Linked DNA regions of Neurospora crassa OR74A. The protein of the gene in region 1 interacts with the protein of each later gene in a biochemical or structural test. Links are inferred from orthologs where the notes say so. Each region holds a gene or a part of one and is shown on either strand. Other genes may lie near its edges.

Evidence for each region.
Region 2: the proteins of NCU06278 (region 1) and NCU00476 form a complex in vitro, tested with the Saccharomyces cerevisiae proteins (3 studies listed by BioGRID). The link is inferred for Neurospora crassa OR74A from reciprocal best matches to the Saccharomyces cerevisiae genes RIA1 and SDO1.

Annotation. Positions count from the first base shown.
Region 1 is NC_026503.1:2,179,346-2,183,666, forward strand, and holds the start of NCU06278 (elongation factor 2, variant 2), read right to left. Parts: upstream 2,838-4,321; 5' UTR 2,597-2,837; exon of another isoform or gene 2,507-2,596; 5' UTR 2,492-2,506; coding exon 2,429-2,491; intron 2,335-2,428; coding exon 2,314-2,334; intron 2,228-2,313; coding exon 1-2,227. Other genes in the region: NCU06279 (eukaryotic translation initiation factor 3), read left to right, coding at 3,511-3,813, 3,913-4,321. UniProt on the Saccharomyces cerevisiae protein: GTPase involved in the biogenesis of the 60S ribosomal subunit and translational activation of ribosomes.
Region 2 is NC_026503.1:3,986,392-3,990,278, forward strand, and holds NCU00476 (UPF0023 family protein), read right to left. Parts: upstream 2,279-3,887; 5' UTR 1,918-2,278; coding exon 970-1,917; 3' UTR 694-969; downstream 1-693. Other genes in the region: NCU00475 (40S ribosomal protein S18), read left to right, coding at 1-8, 118-304, 360-581; NCU00477 (carboxypeptidase Y), read left to right, coding at 3,297-3,798, 3,864-3,887. UniProt on the Saccharomyces cerevisiae protein: Involved in the biogenesis of the 60S ribosomal subunit and translational activation of ribosomes.

The DNA.
Region 1 (4,321 bases):
CCAACGTAGCCTCTTCTACAGAGGGTGACTCGGTGCCGTCCTCGACGCCAGCCGCCTTGCGGTCCGTGTACAGCCGCTTGATGCCGGCGGAGTTCTTCTGGAGGAATTCAGTTACGGGGGCCGGGAGGGGCCTGACGCGCAGGGTCACCGTCACTTGCCTGGAGCTCGTGACGCCGACAACCACACCGCGGCCGAGTTCCTTGTTCACTGGAGGGCGCATCTCTTCGGCACGAACGATCGTCTCCCGGTACGGCACAATGGGCGCACCGGCTTGGATCTCGCATCGCGCAAACCGCTCGCGCAGATCCGTCAGGCAGCGTTCGAGATGCAATTCGCCGGCAGTAGAGAGGACGTGCTCGCCACTGGAGAAGTGCTCATACTCAGCGCACGGATCGCTCTGGACAAGGAGGTGAAGACCCTGAATCATCTTGTCCAGGTCATAGGGGTTGACAGGCTCAAGAGCGACACGAACAATGGGGCGACCGGCCAGGTTGGCGATACCAGCCAAGTTGACCGAGCCCTCGAGCTGGCTGCAGAGCGTTCCGGACTTGAGAAGGCCGCTGCCTTCGAGACCGCGAATACCGAACACGACACCAGCTGGGACGGAGGGAAGGGCTTCGAGATTGCGACCCATGAGCATGTAGAGAGCGGTAACCGTCACCTTCTTCGGGACGGGTTGGGCATGAGGATCAGCCGGGGAGAACTTTGGGGGCAACACATAGATCTCGTCGCCAACGGATAGAGTGCCCGAGTAGATACGGGCAAAACCGATGAGATGCTCCGCTTCGACGGGCTTCTCCTCGAGTTCCGGCACGGCATTGTCGGTCAAGGAGGTGCTGGTGAAGGCGTTGGCCAGGTCGTTCATGTCAGGGTCACCGTCGGCGCCTCCTTGGGCACGAATGGCTTCGGCGCGCTTCTTTCTCGCCAGCTCTCGAGCCTCCTCAGGGCTAAGCGGTCCGCGGCGCCTGTTCTCCGGCAGCTCGCTTTCAGGCACGGATATCATCTTGCTAACATATGCAACCATAGGCTCAGATGGATCTTTTTTGAACGAGACCATGGCATCTTTGACCTTGGGATCGATGTGGTCCGCGCCGGGTACGCTTGCCAGGAGGTCTGGGAGACGGTCCGCCTGAGCTGCTTTGGGCGAAGGCAATGACTCCACCACTGAGACGAGCAAAGCCGTAGAGAGAGGCAACCAAGAAGCAAACACCGTGGTAAGGAGTAGTTTGGGATCCCGAGAGCGGAGGATGTGGGGCGGTACACTGAGGTTCAAGGACTTGGTGATCTTCTCCAAAAGAGCGGGATCACCCTTACCGGAGTCACCACCAACCGTGGCCTGGTAGACAGCCCAAATTGGCTCCAGAACCAACTGGACAAAGATGGGCTTTAGAGGTCTGCCCTTAAGATGCTTAGGCCCAAGTACCTTTTTGGTCTTGGGATCCATGTAGAAGTTGCCCCAGAGAACCTTTTCCAGCAAGCCACGCTTGATGCCGAGCTTCTTCTCGTACATGCCGGCAAACTGGCGAACAGTAAAAGCCCAGCCGTCGATGGCACTGCCAAAAATAACGTTGTTCTTCTCTGGCGCAAAGTAAATCTCCTCGTCGTCTTTTTCCTGGAACTGAAGCTCGCCGGAGTCAGGTTGACCGGCAGCTATTTGAGCCTCCTTGGCCGCGGCGGCAGCCACTCTTTCCTCCATCCGGTCACGCCAGTTGAGATCTTCTTCCATGCGCTCACCTTGGAAGAAGCTTCCAAGAACTGCGTTGACTTGCTCGAGAATTTTGCTGAGGTGGATATAAGCCTCGCCCGGGGTCATCTTCAACTCGGTAACCAAGCGGTCGATTTTGTTGATAACAAGAAGGGGCTTGAGCTTCTCGGTCCATGCTTGGCGCAACACGGTTACTGTCTGACTGCAGACGCCTTCGACAGCATCGACCAGAACAACGGCACCGTCACAAAGGCGAGAAGCAGTGGACACTTCACTGCTGAAATCGATATGTCCGGGGGAGTCGATCAGGTTGATCAAGTACTCCTTGGCCTCGGGAGTAGCGTCAGGAGCCGACCTCCTCAACATGGAGAAGTATAGTGAAATGGCTGAAGACTCCATGGTGATACCTCTTTGCTGTTCATCCGGCCGGGAATCGAGATAGCGAATCTTTCCGGCGAGTTTTGGTGAGATGATGCCATTGGTGGCGAGAAGGGCATCTGTGAGTGATGTTTTCCCATGGTCCTAAGGAAGATGAAGTGTAAGTCTCTGTAGCAACAACACAGATAGATCTAGGCTAGGTACGTTGCTTAGGTATCGGGAATACATACAACGTGAGCCAAGATACAAATCTGAAAAAAAAAAAGGATAGTTAGCTTGAGGCCCTCGAACTGAAGTCTTGCTGGGGTTTACACAAGGATGCATATCACATGCAGCTCAACTTACATTCCTCACGTCGTCGGCATTTTGTTGGAGCTTGGCCAGCTTTTCTGGCTGGACAACAGGCATGATGATTATTCACAACTGATGAGCTTCCTTTGAGCAAATATAGATTCTGTTTTTGGTGTCGGGACTACTGTAGAGTGCAGTTAGAGGTTTAGGTGTTGTGCTTACTCGAGTGAGCTTAATGGGTATGAAAGGTGGTTGAGGTGATCGCTGATTAATATGGGAATGGGTAAAGGATGGGAGGCGTCAGTCTTGGAAGTCGATCTTGGGCAACTTTTTGGCGGGGCAGCTTTTTTTTTATGTTGGAAAATCCAGGGAAAAAAAGCCGGAGCCAGACAACCTGGAAGAGAACGTGAACCAAGATGCACAAGAACTACATTTGTGTATTATTTTCTGCGAGGTTTGGTGCTATTATTTATCTTATACTGTCATTCTCCAGTTGATATCAAGCCCAGAAAGCAGTGTACACGCATGTGCTTTTTTCTCGCGCCGACGATGCCCGCCGCGCGGTGCCTGACTTTCAAAGTTGACTTTGAAATGATTCATTCGCTGTCATTTGAGATGGCATCGGACTGGTTCCAGTTGCCCCTCACTGCCTGCCACCTGTCTGACCTGCTATTGAACAGTGTGCTTGATAGTTGAATTCTCCACTCTGATATTCGAATTTCAATCGTTCAGATCGAGTGAGCCATCGATATATCCATATGCTTGGCGCTCCTTGTGCCCAGTCAGACAGTGGCAGACCATACCCTGAAACTGCATACACCCCGCTTTTCTCCCAAAATTCCCAACGGATATGGAAGCGACCTAGCGCGGGCCCCGCCCCCCTCACAATGCTAGCAAAGTGGGTGAAAGAAGCCCACGGACGACGGGCCACACAGCAAAAAATTGAGCCCCGCCAAGCAAAGTCCTGTCGATTCGCTTCGGGCCACTCACTCTTCGCGACCACAGAGAGACACCACCGACCTCACCCACACCACCACCACTCCGGACCCCCGACCCCGTAGTGAACTCTTCTCGACCCGGACGCGACGTCGGATTATCCTTTCCCGAGTCCTCCTCTCTTCCCACTATAGCCCATCATGAGCGCCTTCCAGCAAGCGCAAGCGCCCGCCCGCGCCATCGACCCCGATTCGGACGTCGAGGAGGAGGCCCTCGTCAACGACTACAAGGAGCAGGTCCAATATGAGGAGGATGACGCCGAGTCCACCCAGATGTCCCTCGCCGCCCAGACCGACGACATCCAGTCGCGCCTCGCCGCTGCCGCCCAGCCCCTTGACTACTCCGCCGGTCTGGAGGTCAAGTTCTCGAGCTACGATTCCTACTGCAGCTTGTTCCACTTCATCTTGAACTCCGAGGGCCCCGTCGACCTCGAGCCCCCTTCCGTTAGTCTACCTCCGCTTACGCCATGATCATCGATATCCTCGGCTCCATGGTCTCATGGGATAGCTTTGTGCTGACACATGTTTTCTTCCTCTTACTAGTACTACTGGGCTTGGGACGTCATCGATGAATTCATCTACCAGTTCAACTCGTTCTCCTCGTACAGAGCTCGCATCGCCCGTCAAGGTAACAATGAGGAGGAGATCGCCATGCTCCGCGAAAACCCCAACACCTGGGGCTGCTACAGCGTCCTCAACGTCCTCTACTCCCTGATCCAAAAGTCGCAGATCACCGAGCAGTTGGCCGCCATGAAGCGCAACGAGGATCCCGCGGCCGTCGCCGGCGAGTATGGTTCCAAGAACCTCTACAAGATGCTCGGCTACTTCTCCATCATTGGTCTGCTCCGCGTCCACACCCTCCTCGGTGACTTCAGCCTCGCCCTCAAGACCCTCGACGACATCGAGCTCAACAAGAAGGCCATGTTCGCCCGCGTCATGGCTGCCCACTTCA
Region 2 (3,887 bases), about 1.8 Mb from region 1:
AACACCAAGTATGTTCATTCAGGCACCTCATGATCTTAACCATATCGCGAATCCGGAACAGAACCGTTTTCAAGAGGAGGGTCAATATGTTGAATATGGACGCTGACTTTTATGCAGCGTTGACGGCAAGCAGAAGGTCGTTTACTCCTTGACCAAGATCAAGGGTGTCGGTCGCCGCTACTCCAACCTCGTCTGCAAGAAGGCCGATGTCGACCTGAGCAAGCGTGCCGGTGAGCTCACCTCTGAGGAGCTTGAGCGCATCGTCACCATCATGCAGAACCCCACTGCCTACAAGATCCCCGCTGTACGTTTGAACGGATTTCACTCGATATGACTTCGTCGTCTAACCTTGTCTACAGTGGTTCCTCAACAGGCAGCGCGATATCGTTGACGGCAAGGACTCTCAGATCCTCGCCAACGGTGTTGACTCCAAGCTCCGTGACGATCTTGAGCGCCTCAAGAAGATCCGCGCCCACCGCGGTCTCCGTCACTACTGGGGCCTCCGTGTTCGCGGTCAGCACACCAAGACCACTGGCCGCCGCGGTCGTACCGTCGGTGTCTCCAAGAAGAAGGGCAACTAAATCTGTGCGGGCATATTCGGCGCTGCTTTTTCTGGGTTATTGGTGGTGTTATTCCAAGACGGGCAGTCATGGACACCTGGGACTGAATTGTTTCGCCTTGCGCGTATCTGGATTCTAGGTAGCCTATGGCTAATGGGGGAACTCGCATAATGGAAGACACATCATTGACAGCATGACAATAAACGGCGTGGATATGGAAAATGATTTACTGGCATTTTTATTCGGTCTCTATGGACGTGAAACACGCAAATCCATTAAATCCATTGCCTAAAACAACCCACTATGATTTTCGATGCCATAACGCCCACCCCATGTATGTGACCAAGACCACCATAGACGAAGACCCAGAGAGTATCAGCCAGTTAAATCGAGAAACGAAGTCATGGCTTTAATCTTCGTGAGTGACGGCCATATCCAGGACCTCTACTCTTCCCTGTCCCTTGGTTTCGCTTCCGATGAAGTCAGACAAGATTTTAAAAGCACCGGGCTCTACGAAGCCCACCAGTTCCCACTCTTGGCCCATGACATCTTGGCTCTCAACCTGCTCAACGAAGCTGAGAATCTTGTCCTTGACCGTTCCGGGTGCCTTCTTCTCTCCCTCCTCGCCATCCTTGTTGGCCTCCCCCTTGGGAGCCTTGACGGCCTGCTTGAGCACATTGGTCGTGCAAGTGATGCGTAATCTCATCCTCGCCCTGGCAACGGGTATAGGCTGATGGGCAACGAGCGCCTTCATGGCCTCCAGCGCCTGCGACTTTGCGCTCTTGTTTGTCGAAACACCGGTCCAGATGGGTAGGGACTTTGTAGGCTGCGGCTTCGCCTCGCCGCTCTCGCCCGTCGCCGGCGACGCCGTACCGCTCGCGGCCGCATCCTTCTTCTCCTTCTCCTTCTCCTGTAGCTGATGCGCCTGCGAGCTGAGCATGTCCAGCGCCTTGTCGATCATGCCGGTGGTGTAGACCTTTTTGGTGCGCGGGTCGACCAGCTTGCTGGCGACAATGGAGACGACTTCGTTATGGACGCGCTCCAGCTGCGCGCTGCGCTCCTTCTCGCCCACCTGCATCTCGCCCTTTTTGAGAATCTCCAGGATGATGTCATTGACCGAAGTGTCCTTGCCAAACGCCTTTTGCAGCTCGGCCGTCGGCGCCGTCTGGCCCTTGGACACGTTCAGAAAGACGTTGGGGATCTGCAGGACGTTGTCGAGGTCAGTCTCGATGCCGGACCGCCATTCGAGCACTTTGTTCTTGTAGCAGGCAACCTCGAAGCGTTTTTTGCCCTTTTTAAGCCGGACAAGGGAGACGTTGGTCAGTTTGATCTGGTTGGAGGGCTGTTGGATCACCATTTTGGCGGTGGTTGTGTAGTTGTCGTGAAAAGAGTATAATTCGATGGTTCGACGGTATTGATTCTCCGGGAAATGAAGCCGTTGAAAATAGCTTCGAAGGTAGTAACAGTCGGGTATATAGGATGCTGGACTGGCTTTTCTGAGTAGCTGATATGTTTCCAGAAACCGGGCATACAAGTTGACTTGCTGCAGTTTCTCTGAGAATGCGCCCGTAAGAGAGATAACGATATGCCCGTGGAGCAGAAATTCTTGGTCGCCCGCAGCTTCCACTTTTCTCCGCTGCAGAGCGGGCTTTGAAAGTCTGCCCCGCCTGCCCGCCGTACCGCCCCAGTCCCCTCTGATGGACGGATGGGCCGCCCCATCGGATCCCTAGCCGAATGACGATTGACGGCGGGCAAAAAGCGGACTTGTCAAGCACGCGATGCGGGAATTCCATTTGTCCATCGGATGAGTCAGTGGGTCTTTCTGTTATCGATACCATAACATCACGCTTGGAGACGGGTTTGTCAGATATTCAACATGATAAAGACTGACACGAAGTGAGACCTCTTCAGTTTTGAAGACAGGAAATGGATGTCAAAGTCATTCAAATTGCAAGGGATCATTTTTCATTACTATTATCACATATTCTCTGAAGCTGGCGCCTGTTCGAGTTGAACTTGCCAGGAAAGCAGCACAAAATCACCGTTCGTCTGATATCTTTCAGGGGTATCACGCTGCATAATGCGCGACTCATGAGGATTATCTACTGGAGTTCCGTGAAGGATTATCATCTCCTCCTGGGAACAACATTCTTATATCCGGAGTTTGGAGTATCATACATGGACAATAATTCAGCAATGAGAAGGAAATGAGTGAGTTGTTGTCGGGCGGTGGACATGGAGTCGCATCGAGGCGACCTTGCTGGCGAGGTTGAGACAATGACGAAAGGTAGCTTATCAGACAGATAGGTTGATACCAGGTTGATTGGCGCCACGTCTTGAGGCCAAACTGTACAAGAAAATAAGAGGTACACATGGCGGTGAGAGCCTTATAGGCGGCCCTCTTCACAAGCGTTTGGTGATTTTTTTGTCTGGCTGATCGGCTAGGCGTCCGTTCTCATGACCAGCGTGACCGCCCTGCAAGGTACCTGACCAATACCCAGGCATGCACTCATGTGGCGGCGCAGCGTCTATCCAATCCCATGCCAGCTTGCCCCAAATCCTGGGGGGTTCTGCTGCATCCGCGTCCGGTGAAGCTCGGTTCCGGGGCGTTTTACCTTGGCAGTTGCTTGCCCATCCATTTCCGTTATCAACCTCCTCTTCCTTCCTCTTCCCCTCTTCCATCTTCTTCTCATCATCCATCTGTATCACAACATCAATACTCCTAACATCATCACAATGAGGATCTCGGCTTCAACCGTGCTCCTCGGGGCTGCCTCGGCCGCCTCGGCCGCCTCGTTTCAGAACCAGGCCCAGCATGTCCTTGCCGACAACTTTCACAAGGCCCATGACGCCGTTAAGCCCGTCGCCGACTCGTTCGCGCACACTACCCTTGAAAGCTTTGAGGAGGCCTTCAATGGCATGAACTCCCAGGCCAAGGCCCTTTGGGACGAGATCAAGCTGCTTGTTCCTGAGAATGCTTTCGATAAGCCCACCTGGTTCAGCAAGCCCAAGGCTGCTAAGCGCCGCAAGGACTGGGACCACGTCGTCAAGGGCGCTGATGTCCAAAAGCTGTGGGTTAAGGGCGCCGATGGCGAAAAGCATCGTGAGGTTGGCGGCCAGCTCGACAACTTCAACCTGCGCGTCAAGTCGGTCGATCCTTCCAAGCTCGGCGTCGACAAGGTCAAGCAGTACAGCGGTTACCTTGATGACGAGGAGAACGATAAGCACCTGTTCTACTGTAAGTCAATCACGCTCGAATGTACTTGGTTAGTAAAAATCACGGTGCTGACTCGGACTGTCCAGGGTTCTTCGAGTCTCGCAACGATC